Linked DNA regions of Rattus norvegicus. The protein of the gene in region 1 binds, or shares a complex with, the protein of each later gene. Links are inferred from orthologs where the notes say so. Each region holds a gene or a part of one and is shown on either strand. Other genes may lie near its edges.

Region 1 (3,940 bases):
AGAGGTGTAGCTGCCCCTGATGGCTCAGGCTCTTTGAACTGCCCCAGAAATGCAGGTCTGTCCTGCTGCACTGTGCAGATTAGGGGATGCCAAGGACTCCTCTGTGGTTTAATGGCTCTAGAGAGCCTAGAGAGGACCTGCAGGAGGGCCCTTTGAGGAACTGGGCCTATTTTGCCTTTCAAGAGCTTTCAGGAGCCCAGGGTGTGGCCCCTTCCACTGCCCCACAGTAATGAGCCACAGAGACCCCTGAACCAGGCACAGGTCACAAGTGGTCCAGGTGAACACCTGTCTGCTTCTTCCTGAAGGTGGCGTTGTGAAAGGGGATGAGATCATGGCCATCAACGGCAAGATCGTGACGGACTACACCCTGGCTGAGGCTGAGGCTGCCCTGCAGAAGGCCTGGAATCAGGGCGGGGTGAGAGCGAGCCCCTCTTTTCCCTCACCACCTGCCTCAGACCCTGGTCTTACAATGGCATGGCCAAGTCCAGGGCTGGTACCCAAGGTCCAGACAGTGGATTGGACCTGAAAAGCTGGAGATGGGGGGAAAAAAACCTCCAAGGTCTTCTCTTAAGTGTGTGTGTGCTAAGGAAGAATCAAAAGGGTACTGGGGGCTGCTAGAGAGTGAACAGCCCAGAGGGCAGATGCAAGCGTGGATGTAGCCTGCTCCATGCTTAGCAGATACCCACACGGACCAGGGCTCCCACATGGAGTCTCTCGGGATGTGCACTGCACAGTCTGAAGGGGGTGCCCTCCTACAGACTGTAATGTAGATGCTACCCACTCGCGCTGTGCAGTGCACAACCTGTGCCACTGTGTGCAGGCAGCTGAGCCTGAGGTATTAAGTTCAGTGCCGAGGAAGCTGACCAGATGGGCCTGGGACCCACATGACAGGATGTGGAGAAGAGAAGACCAACGGGTAACACGATGATCGTCTTTGGTGATCTGAATGGCTGGATTAGGACAGAGGGAGCGGCTGTGTTCTGTGCTCCTTCAGTGGATGGAGGGAGGTTACAGGGCGGGGAGAGTTCAGCTCAATCTTAGGAGCTTTGGCATGGGGTTGGGGATTGGTGCTCTTTCAAAATTTGCCAGCCAAAGCCAGGGTGGACAGTGATGGGCAAGCCAACAACGGTGGAGATGCCATCGAGGGGACTGTCAAGATCAGAGAGGCCAAGCGAGCCCGTGTTTGCTATGGCTCAGGGGTAGGGGTGCTGCTTGTCAGTGGTACTCGAGACTATAAGGGGTACGGCTGTGAGTTCGTAAATGATCCTCAAGTGGCTGCCCCAGCCCTGGTCTATAGATCCACAATTGGGAGCTTGGTAACGTCTGAGGGTCTAGCAGGGCCGCTTCCAGGGGGAGCGCTTTCCTAGAGTGTGGGTCTCCATAAGGGAGCCCTAGCCCTCACTGTGCCCTAGCTAGCCCTGGGCTACGATGCCCAGGAGTGAAACAGAACACCAGGCAGATCCATCACATGCTTCTCCGTGTGTCCTATGCGGTCACACGGTTTCTCCCTACAGGACTGGATAGACCTTGTGGTTGCCGTCTGTCCCCCCAAGGAATACGATGATGAACTGTAAGTGTGAACAGGCACCTGCCCTTGCACCCCATTCCCTCCCAGGATCCTAGCCACCTTTCTTCAGTCTCACCCAGTGAAAGGGGTATCCTGGTCACACATCTGCTGGTAGTCATGGGGCCAAGAACACCCTGGGCTAGAGATACCCTGGACCAGAGTCATGGGCCTGAGTAGTGTTGGCTCACAGTCATTGGCCCATCCTCAGCTGCCTAGAGTGGCTCATTCCATATAGCTTGAGAATTCTATAGTGTCTATAGCAGAACCAGGGCCTAGGCAGTACTGAAGAGACAGACACTCAGTGCAGGGTGAGAGCCTGCCGAGCCTCCCCCAGCAGTAACTGGGCCCTCCCTCTTGTCTCCTGCTCCACCCTGCATGTGTAGCTCCTCTCTTCCCTCCTCTGCAGCCGAAAGCCCCCAGCCGGTCCGAAAGCAGCTTGAAGCCTATGAGCCCGTGTGTAGACACGGGTTTTTCCTGCAGCTGGAGCCCACGGTGACTAGGCAGGCAGCCTCGGGGCCCTGTCTGCCCACGCTGTGTGTCATGTGCTGCCCATGACCCTGGCAGGTTCTTTGGACTGGTGTCTAGAGGAAGACAGAGGCGGCCTGCAGGAATGCCTCTCTTGGGGCTGCTGTCAATGGCTGAGACTCTAGAGCTTATGGGGGTACACAAAGACCAGCTGGGGGCACTGGCTTAGGACCTGAGAGTCCTGATGCCCACGGGTCCTGGGACCCGCTTTGGGTCACACTCAGAACCTGGTTGGAGCAGGGCAGCACTGAGAACAACAGTGTCTCCCCACTGCTGGACAAGGCTGAAGAACACTAAAGCCTCCTGAATCTCCTCACAGGGACCTATTTCCCACCAGAACCCCTGCAGGATCCCCACGCCCTGCTCAGGCAGAGCCATGCCATTCAACCTCCTCAAGCTGGTCCAAAGAACCAGGGTTGGCGGGCTCCCCTGCTCAGCCCTCATTCTCCTTGGTCTCCATCCCGCCTTGATCTGGGCTCCCTCTGCTGTGCCAGGGAGCCAAGTTTTGGAGTGCTTCCCTATCTGTGTCTTGGGTTTGGTGGCTGTGACACTGGAGTTGATTGTGGCCCAATGACCACAACCAGCATAGCTCCAAACATGGCTGCTTTCTTTCTGTCACAATTTTTCCAAACTATTGGTCATGATCATGCTTCATGAACCACAACAGTGGACCTGGCTACCATGGCCCTCAATGTCTGCTCTGTCGCTGCTTGCTCTTCTTAACAAGCGATTCCTGCCTTTCCTGCTGCTCCCGTCCCCCTTCCTATACCGACACCCCTTTGTCTTCCTCCCTGACTTCCTGGGTGCTGTGGCTGGTGTGTTTCTACTCAGGGCTGAACTGAGAGGGAGCCCCTGAAGGCTGGAAGGGCTTTGTGCTGCTACGGTGGGGCCAGCCATGAACAGAGGGCCATATACACGTCCTGTCTACCCCATCTGTTTCCTCCTCTCCACAGAACCTTCTTTTAAAGTCCAGAGACAGAAGCCAGCCAGACCCATCCTGGAAGCTGGCAAGCTCGGCACCCAGCCCCTGAAGTCAGCCTGAGAGACACCAGTCACCAGGTGTAGAAAATCTCCCTGGAAACTGTCCCCCGAAGCCCTGTGACCTGGCCCCTCCTCTGAAAGCCAGCAAAAGGTGGAGCAAGGACCAACTGCTGTTCTGGAGTGGTCTGTGGGATTCCACTCCCATTTCTTCCAGCTCTAAGTTGGCCGTACCTGCTCTAGAATATTCCTTTCTTGAGACCTAAGGGCGCCCAGGTCCTGCACCTCCCTATTGCACTCCCTCCTACTGTAATCCCTGCTGGAAACCTGATGGTGAACTCACTAATAAATACACTGACTCCGTCTCCAGCCTCTGAGGACGAATGTGTGTGGATAGCAGTTAAGTGGAAAACCGGAAGGTTGTGGCCCCACAGCTGTGATCTAAACATGCTACACAGAGGACCGATACCCAGGGTTGGCTCAGAGCTCAGGAGGTAGCAGGACCCAAGCTGGGTTTCAGGGTGTCGCTGGCAGAGAGGAGAGACATGAAGGTGTGTAGCAGGGTTTGGCCCTATTCTCTCAAAGGGGCACCTGGAGGCGTAGAGTGGCCCAGCTGTTATCGGAAACTATGCTGTGTTTCCTGAGGTTCCCAGGATGGGGGAGGAGGATAAGGTGCACCCCTGCACAGAATATAACCCAGCAGAACCTTAGGGAAGAGAAAAGAGGGTATCAGTAGAGACAAGACAGGACCTCTCGGATAGTCCCTGGAGAGAGTTGTTATCCCAAATCAAACCCAAAATACGCAGCACTGATCAGATTCTTGTCTGCGAGAATCAGAAAGATCCTGATAGATGGCGTGTATAAAGTAGG
Region 2 (4,254 bases), about 78 Mb from region 1:
CCCTAGTTTCCTACTGTTCTATAAAACACTACAAGTTCAATTTGGCAATTCCTTAAAGCTAAATAGAAATTACAACAAAACCCAGAAATTCCACACCTTGCTATATGCCCAAGAGATGTAAAAATATATGTTTACACAGGAACATCTATGTGACTGTTCTTAATAACATTTTTCATCATTAACTTAATGGACACAACCTAAACATCCAACCAGTATGAGAATTAAATGATAAAGGGTATTTGATATGCTAGTATAGAAGAATATTATTCAACAATTTAAAAAATCCTTCAAAACATATTCCTTTTAAATAAAGGCCACAAAACTATGTCACAGGATTCCAGTGACATAAAGTGCTCACAATTGCAGCTATATAGAGAGAAAATTGATTCATGGTTTCCTAGGGTTGGGAGTAGGAATTAGTTGCTAACAAACACAAAGGATATCTTTTAAAAGTTCTGTTGTTACATTTATTCATTTTTCTATGTGGTATGGGAGAGTCTGAGTTGGAGTGGGTTGAGGAATGGTTTTAGTGTGGAGAAAACATTGCAAAACTGAGTTTACAAGAGGGCAATTGGCATGTGTTTGAATTTACCAGTCTGACAAAACTAGAATTTAATAAACTCATTGACAAAAAAAGACCACCTACATGAAATAGTGCTGTACATGAATGGGATCTGTTGAAGCTGTCCACAGCAATCTCCACCATGCAAATGAGGGTAGCCTTGATTGGCTGATATTTGATTTCCAGAGGATACTGGGTTCACATGGTATAGCCTGTGGTTATACTTGGTTTAGATTGGCCTTCCTTATTTATATCATTCTACACTGGAAAGTGGTGAAGCTTTCTAGACCAAACTTTTTTATTTTTTTATTTTTTTTTGTGGGAGTTCCTGGAGAACCACCTGTTTGTCTTCCAGCCTGCCATCAGCCTTCTGTCCTCCACTGTTATGGTAAAGATTTCACAGCTGTGAATTTACCCAGATCTTTGATTTTATATTTCAAATGGTTAAATTCAACTTGTACAGACTATACCTGTAAAAATCTACTAAAACACTCCTTCTCCCATACCAGTGAACTTAACCAGTTTTGAGTTTTTTGATTATTTCCCATATTCTGTACCTAGGTGGTCAGTATCACATCTGACACTTGTTAATGGGCACAGTAAAGATTAAATGTGCTTCATCACATGCATGAGAGACACCAGAGGCCTCAATGTTCATTGTTATGGTTGGTCTTAAAAGTAAAGGTCCAAGTCCAGGACTGTAGGCCTTCTGGATGCCTTCCAAGAAGCGAGGGTGAAGTGAGCTTTGGCCTGGAGTAATACTCCCTGTCACTGATTAACCAGCCCCGTTGGAAGACTTGTGTGACCAGCACTGCCTAGACAAAGACACCTGGACAAGCTCTGGTGGGCAGAAAAATGTCTACCCGCTATCACCAAGCAGCAAGTGACAGCTACCTGGAACTTCTGAAGGAGGCCACTAAGCGTGATCTAAATCTCTCAGATGAGGATGGCATGACACCCACTCTCCTGGCAGCCTACCACGGCAACCTTGAGGCCCTAGAAATAATCTGCAGTAGAGGGTGAGTGATCCCTGTTAGGGCATCCTGGGTGGGGAATGCCACTCTGGCAGTGAGAGACAGAGATGTCCACATAGACATTTTGCTTCTTTGTAGGTCCTCTAAGTAGTTGGCTTTTAGAGAAAGAAAGACTAAGCTAGGTATGGTTTCTTTCCCTGTGAAACAGCCATTTAGAAGTCACTCAGGCAGAGGTGGGTAGGGTGTGGATTGTAACTATATGCCCTGAAAATCACCTCCATTGAATTTAAATGGTTAACTCTTTAAAAGGAGGTCACCATGCTTATTGGTTCAGTGATCTTCCTTGGTTAGGACATGGCTTTATTTTACTTTTCCAATCTTGTCACTAAAATCTATCTTTACAAGTACTCAGCCTTGATGTAAACTCCTGGTTCTTCTGGCTTTGCCATCTATAACATGAGTCTTCAGTCCATCTTTACACACACACACACACACACACACACACACACACACACACCCCATCCCTTAGCTTTAGATTCCAGTCTTTGCTAACTCTTTTATTCTGCTCACCCTGCTCATTGCCAGAGAGCTAGTCAGGGTAGGCAGTTACACTTAGATGGAGAGAAATGGAGCAAAAGAGGAGTTTGGGTGAGTGAGAAGAGTGGGGGGAAGAGGGAGAGGTAAAGAGTAAGGGAGTCAAATGACTCCAGTACAGTGCATATTTAGCATCTGGTAGGTGACAGTCCACCTCTCCCCCTTCTCTCCCCTTCTTCTGCTTTCTCTTTCTTCCACTCCCTCCTCTTCTGATTTTTCTTCTCATATATTTTTGGTGCTGTCCAGATGGTCCCTATCAACAAAACATCCTGGTGCTCTTGTGGCACTCAGATCTGAGAGGGGAAGCCAAGCAAGCAGCTTATGGTAGATGTGACAAAGTCTGTTCCAGGGAAGGGAAATTAAGCTAGTAGAGAAAGACGGGGAGCTGATCAAGGCTGAGGGAAGTGCTTTCCCCCTAAGGCAGAGAGCACTGTGCATTCCAAGGGTAGAAGACGTTGAGTTTGGCTGGACATGACTTGCACAGGAACAGACCTAAGCCATAAGACTGGACTATCAGGGGCCTTGAGACTTCTGTTCAGGACTTGAATCTCCTCCTGAGAGCCTAGAAACCACACCCTCTATTTACAGAGGAAGCAGTCACATAGATTTATGCTTATGAATATCGTTCTGGCGATTGTACATTAGTCACAGAGAATGTCTAGGGACGTTCAAGGTAAAAGTGAACTAACATGGTATCACTGGGTGTGAGTAGACACGGAGCTTTGAGTGACAGTTTGGATGTCAGATAGTGATTGGATGTGGCAAGTAAAGGAGGAGGAGGGTCAACATCTGTTTGGATTAAACAGATTGTAGATATGGACACCTCATTGAGTTGGGGAACATGTCAGAAAGAGCACGCCTACTCTCTATACCAAATCTTCTGAAACTTTATTCAAGATAGGTCTTTCTTCTTTTGAGTTAATGTCTCAATTTTGTTATAGCAATTAAATACATAACACACTTAATTTAATTTATAAGGATACCTTAATATTATAATCAGCAAATTTATTTCTTAGTTTATCCCCCTGTTTGATACATAATTCTTTTTTTCTAGTTTGCAGTGTTGTGGTGATTATTCCTCCACATAAGTCCTTGTCCATATTTTTTTCCCCGAGTGTAAATTCTCAGAACTGAAGTTTTTGGGTCAGTTGCCTGCACTTGTGCTATGATCACAAAATGCCTCGGGCAAAGTAATTTACAGAGGATAAAACTTATTCTATAGTTTTAAGAGCAGCCAGGAAGTCTAAGATCAAGTTGGCAAGAAGTTCAGTGCAGGGAGAGATCTTTCCATGCTGGCTCCTTATTGCTGCCACATCTGGGGTGAGGGGGACAGGGACGGAGCCCTCACATAGTAGGAGAGAGAAGATGCACGCGAACAAAATTCTGGAAAAGCAAGTTCCTTTCTTTGACAAGGAACCCCTTTACATGGTGAAGGCGGGGTTCCTGGTGAGGATGAAAACGCCAATGCTGAGCTGCCATGCACTTTCGTCTTTGTGAGCTGCGTGTCTGTAACATTGCCCCACTTTTATATGTCTATATAAAAGTGTGTGTGTCTGTGTCTATGTGTGTGTGTATGTGTCTGTGTGTGTCTGTGTGTGTGTGTAAGTATGTCTATGTGTGTATATATGTGTATGTGTGTATGTGTAAGTATGTCTATGTGTGTGTAAGTATGCCTATGTGTGTGTGTGTGTATGTGTGTATGTATGTGTCTGTGTGTGTATGTGTGTGTGTGTAAGTATGTCTATGTGTGTGTAAGTATGCCTATGTGTGTGTGTGTGTATGTGTGTATGTGTAAGTATGTCTATGTGTGTGTGTAAGTATGTCAATGTGTGTGTGTATGTCTATGTCTGTGTGTGTGTGTCTGTGTGTGTGTGTGTGTGTATGTATGTGTCTGTGTGTGTATGTGTGTATGTGTGTGTGTCTGTGTGTGTATGTGTCTGTGTGTGTATGTGTGTGTGTGTAAGTATGTCTATGTGTGTGTAAGTATGCCTATGTGTGTGTATGTCTATGTCTATGTGTGTATATATGTGTCTGTGTGTGTATGTGTGTGTGTAAGTATGTCTATGTGTGTGTGTAAGTATGTCAATGTGTGTGTGTATGTCTATGTCTATGTGTGTATATATG
Region 3 (3,580 bases), about 56 Mb from region 1:
TTGGTGCATAGATCACTTTGCACTGAGCTAAAAACATCTTCTCTTAACAGCATTTTCTTGGTCTTGGGAGCTCCAAGAGGGCTTAACCACCCAGGGGACAGACACACACACACACACACACACACACACACACACACACACACACACACACACAATGATGTGGTACTCCTCTTCTCTGAGGACAGTGTCAGGTAAGAGGCAGGATTGTCTAATTCAGTAACTTCTTCTTAATTGGGAGAGTTCATGAGCCAATAAAATTAAAGTTGTCATCTTTTTATCACATGCATCACACATGCTCACACATCTTGCCCATGACCCAAATCATCTCACAGAACAAGGGTCATTTAAAACACCCAAAGCAGACAAGCAGCCCTCCCACAACAATCAGGCCTGTAATCGAGGCTAGCACAGCTCATCGATGTCAGATTTGCCACAGATCAGTGGGAACCCTGTGCTGGACCCTCCCATCTGGCCCCACTCAACCAACAGAGGTGGAAGTGGCTAAGCCAGAGAAGGGAGTCCACTTTCTAGCCTTCTGTGGCCTGGGGCTCCTGGCACAAGACTCCTGAAGTCTACTTCGGATGTGGCAGACAGATAACCTGTGGCCATCTCTCCCTTCTGGTGGCCCTGGGTGGCGTCTGGCTCAAGTAGCTCAATTGGCCTTGAAGAACAATGGAGAGAGGTGAGAGTGATAGGTAGGTGGTCTAGAAGTCCAAATAACCCGTGGAAAGTCTCTTCCTAATGCTGGGCCTCAGTTTCCCCATTGGGAAGATGGAACTTGTCTCTTGCCCACACGCCCAATATAAACACAAGCTCTTGGCATCCCAAGTCTCTACCTATGGTCACATAAGCCAGTTCCCCGAGAAGCCCAGGTCCCCGCATCTGTCTGGGCTAATTGTATAGGTGACTCCAGAGTCTTCCCACCAAGTCTCCAACACCCAGGCCATCGGTAGAGGCTTGTCCTGACCCGGGGATGGAAACAATAGCAGGGTCTCTAGGAATAGAAAAACCTAGCCGCTAGCCTGGGCCAACCGCACCGAGGGTGAGCTAGCTGCAGTGGGTTTAAATCAGAAAGCTCAGGAGGGGCCATGAGAACCATGAGCTGCAGGTTACAGTCTGCTAGCTCCATCCACTGTCTCACAGTTCTGCCTTCCCTCAGCTCTCACATGTGGGTACCTTTCCAGATGAGGCACAGAGAGATGCCTTAGGAGACGGGTTAGGGTCTCATGACCTCCAGCCACAGAGCTAACACGGGCCCTTTTTGCTTCCACTGTGGCTAAGGTGCTGGGGCCGCTGCCAGCTGCCCTGAGACCCCCAGGCTCGCCTAGAGAAGCCCAGCCCCAGCGTCCCACTGCCCCGTGGGTACTGACCGCAGTGCAGGTCGCAGGATACCGTTGCCAATGATGAAGTGCAGCTTCTCTAGATTTGAGGTGGGCCGGTCCTCCAGCATGCTGTTGCCCTGTACCATGGACTCCCCATCATGCAGCCTCTTGGTCACCTAGGACAAGGACACAGGCGAGGCTGGGGTGCTGCACCTGCTAGGCTCCTCACGGGGAGCAGATAGCGTCATAGATGGGGTGCTGTCCCTGCCAGCTACTGCAGAGAGTAAGGGACAAATGGATGGCCCACGAGCTTGTCATCGCTCCATTCTTAAAGACTAATAACCACATCGCATGGCTGGGAGCACCAGCTCGGTGCCACCTGCATCGTGGGTAAGTTCTCTGTGGCCCTCTGTACCTCAATCCCACCCAAGGGAAACCCTTACAGCCAGGATATGTCCCATCCCTGACTGAGTGAGAGCACCATCTCACACCGAAGTACAGCCTGGTTCACAAGCACCTAATTAGCAAGGCTCCTGGCCCTGGCATGGCCACCCTCCATTCTCAGTAGATGTGTGTCTCTCTTTCGGCCTCACGCAGCCACAGAAGCAGCCCCACATTGCACTCAAATGCAGCAAGAGATCCTCCATCATAGACAGAAAGGGCCACGCGAGGGTCTCATAGCATCTGAACCCATGCCTGTCTGTTCCAGCCCCCCCCCCCCAGCCTACACAGCCCTGTGTACAAGGCCTTGGCAGTCTCAGACGCTGAGAGATGGACTGATGGGTGGTGGTGCCAATACTCAGAAAGACTACAGAGAAGTCTGCTCCCAGGCTGAGAGGTCCTGGGTTGAAATTCATGGTGTATGCATCAGCCAGAAGTGCCCTCCTTTTCACGTGTGTGCTTGGCCCCACCCTGGGAAGCCCCTCCCCCAGGTGCTTCTATACACTTCTGTCTGGTGGTTGCTCCAATGCTGTGCTGTGCAGAAGAGAGAAGCATCATCTGCTTCTCCTCCTACTCCTATTCCCAGGGCCCTCAGCTCAGCTGTGCTGCAACTTGGCTGCCTAAGGAAGCCCTTACCTCTTCTGTGAGTTTGGACTTCTTCTTCAGTGTCAAGTGTACCAACTTGTGTTTCACACTGGTCTTCTTCTGCCCCTCAGAGAGCTGGGCCTGTGAAATAGTCACAGGGATGAGACCTCTAGACAGAGGGGCTATGGCGTGGTGTGGTGTGGGGTGTGTGTGTGTGTGTGTGTGTGTGTGTGTGTGTGTGTGTGTGTTTGTGTGTGAGAATTCCACACAGATGCTCACAAGGTGAAGGCCACGAGGTCACCCTCTATCCTCAACTCTGCTGAGACTCGGAAAATCATAGTTAATGTCTGAGGCCTCCCAGTGAGGCGTCTCTGGAGGTGTCTCCCATGGCAAAGTCTGTCTGGTCTGCAGTGTGGCCCCTCAGTTATGGTGAGAATTTTACAGTTGGCAAATGATCACACATTATCCCAAGTAGACAGAGAATGGTAGGGGACTGGGGCGGGGATGAGGTGGAGAGAGCTAGACCACAGGATGCTTTCTGCTGGTTACCTGAGGCTGCATGCTGACATCATCCCCACTAGCCCAAGACAGTTGTCAGTTGGGGCCCTGTGGCCTCACCTCGCCCTCGCCCTGCAGGGCCTGCAGCTCCCTCTTGTATGTCTTCTTGCCCAGGGTCTCATAGATCTTAGTCATCACAGGGATCTTCTCACTGCCATCGCTCATGGCTGTGTGGTACTTGGGCTCTGGGAGGTCCCCCATGAACCGGAGGATGGTGATCCAGACAGCCAGTGCCGCCTGAGGGTGGAGTACACATGTTAGAGAGCCGGGGAGCACGGAGGAAGTGGTTCATGCCATAGAGAGAGCCTTGGAGAGGAGGCTGGAGAGATAGACAGCCACCACAAATGTGCTGACCCCAGGTTGGGTGCCAGGCCAAAGCCCAGCCTTGACTTGACAAGTGTGGCATCCACCACCCCATCCTGGCCCTGTGAGCCATGATCCAGCCGCAGGTGTCCTCACCAGCTGGTCACCCTCATCATCGTGGTAGAGCAGTGGCTGCTTGAGGGGCCTCCGGGTGTAGGAGTGTGTGGTTGTGCCCTGGAAGTAGGTGGCAGCAAATTTGGCGAATTTGTACTCAGAAAGGTCCTCCTCATCCTCGTCAGGCAGGGGCAGGGCAGCATCGACATCCTCTTCCACCATCTCCCTCCGCCCTCGCTCCAGGTCCTGATGGGCAG

The links.
Region 2: Ush1c (region 1) and Anks4b share a complex: the UniProt entries of both Homo sapiens proteins name them as parts of the IMAC/intermicrovillar adhesion complex. The link is inferred for Rattus norvegicus from reciprocal best matches to the Homo sapiens genes USH1C and ANKS4B.
Region 3: the proteins of Ush1c (region 1) and Myo7a are in contact, whole or in part, in a crystal structure (PDB 5MV9), measured with the Homo sapiens proteins. The link is inferred for Rattus norvegicus from reciprocal best matches to the Homo sapiens genes USH1C and MYO7A. Residues at the interface, in NP_001284693.1 of Homo sapiens: Glu450, Pro456, Ile457, Val461, Val462, Ser463, Tyr466, Glu467, Lys479, Gly480, Pro522, Tyr526, Asp527, Asp528, Glu529, Leu530, Thr531, Phe532, Phe533; in NP_000251.3 of Homo sapiens: Phe1946, Val1953, Ala1976, Lys1995, Lys1996, Trp1998, Gln2017, Pro2020, Lys2021, Arg2024, Tyr2026, Ser2112, Ala2113, Phe2114, Phe2115, Glu2116, Val2117, Lys2118, Ile2128, Ser2161, Gly2163, Asn2164, Thr2165, Tyr2166, His2168, Leu2181, Glu2183, Thr2184, Ser2185, Leu2186.

What each region holds. Positions count from the first base shown.
Region 1 is NC_086019.1:105,831,218-105,835,157, reverse strand, and holds the end of Ush1c (harmonin), read left to right. Parts: intron 1-305; coding exon 306-415; intron 416-1,514; coding exon 1,515-1,570; intron 1,571-1,950; coding exon of another isoform or gene 1,951-2,059; intron 2,060-3,045; coding exon 3,046-3,058; coding exon of another isoform or gene 3,059-3,123; 3' UTR 3,124-3,435; downstream 3,436-3,940. UniProt on the Homo sapiens protein: Anchoring/scaffolding protein that is a part of the functional network formed by USH1C, USH1G, CDH23 and MYO7A that mediates mechanotransduction in cochlear hair cells. Required for normal development and maintenance of cochlear hair cell bundles.
Region 2 is NC_086019.1:183,977,406-183,981,659, forward strand, and holds the start of Anks4b (ankyrin repeat and SAM domain-containing protein 4B), read left to right. Parts: upstream 1-1,396; 5' UTR 1,397-1,417; coding exon 1,418-1,581; intron 1,582-4,254. UniProt on the Homo sapiens protein: As part of the intermicrovillar adhesion complex/IMAC plays a role in epithelial brush border differentiation, controlling microvilli organization and length. Plays a role in assembly of the complex.
Region 3 is NC_086019.1:161,776,804-161,780,383, forward strand, and holds part of Myo7a (unconventional myosin-VIIa), read right to left. Parts: intron 3,570-3,580; coding exon 3,366-3,569; intron 3,144-3,365; coding exon 2,967-3,143; intron 2,490-2,966; coding exon 2,400-2,489; intron 1,499-2,399; coding exon 1,371-1,498; intron 1-1,370. UniProt on the Homo sapiens protein: Myosins are actin-based motor molecules with ATPase activity. Unconventional myosins serve in intracellular movements. Their highly divergent tails bind to membranous compartments, which are then moved relative to actin filaments.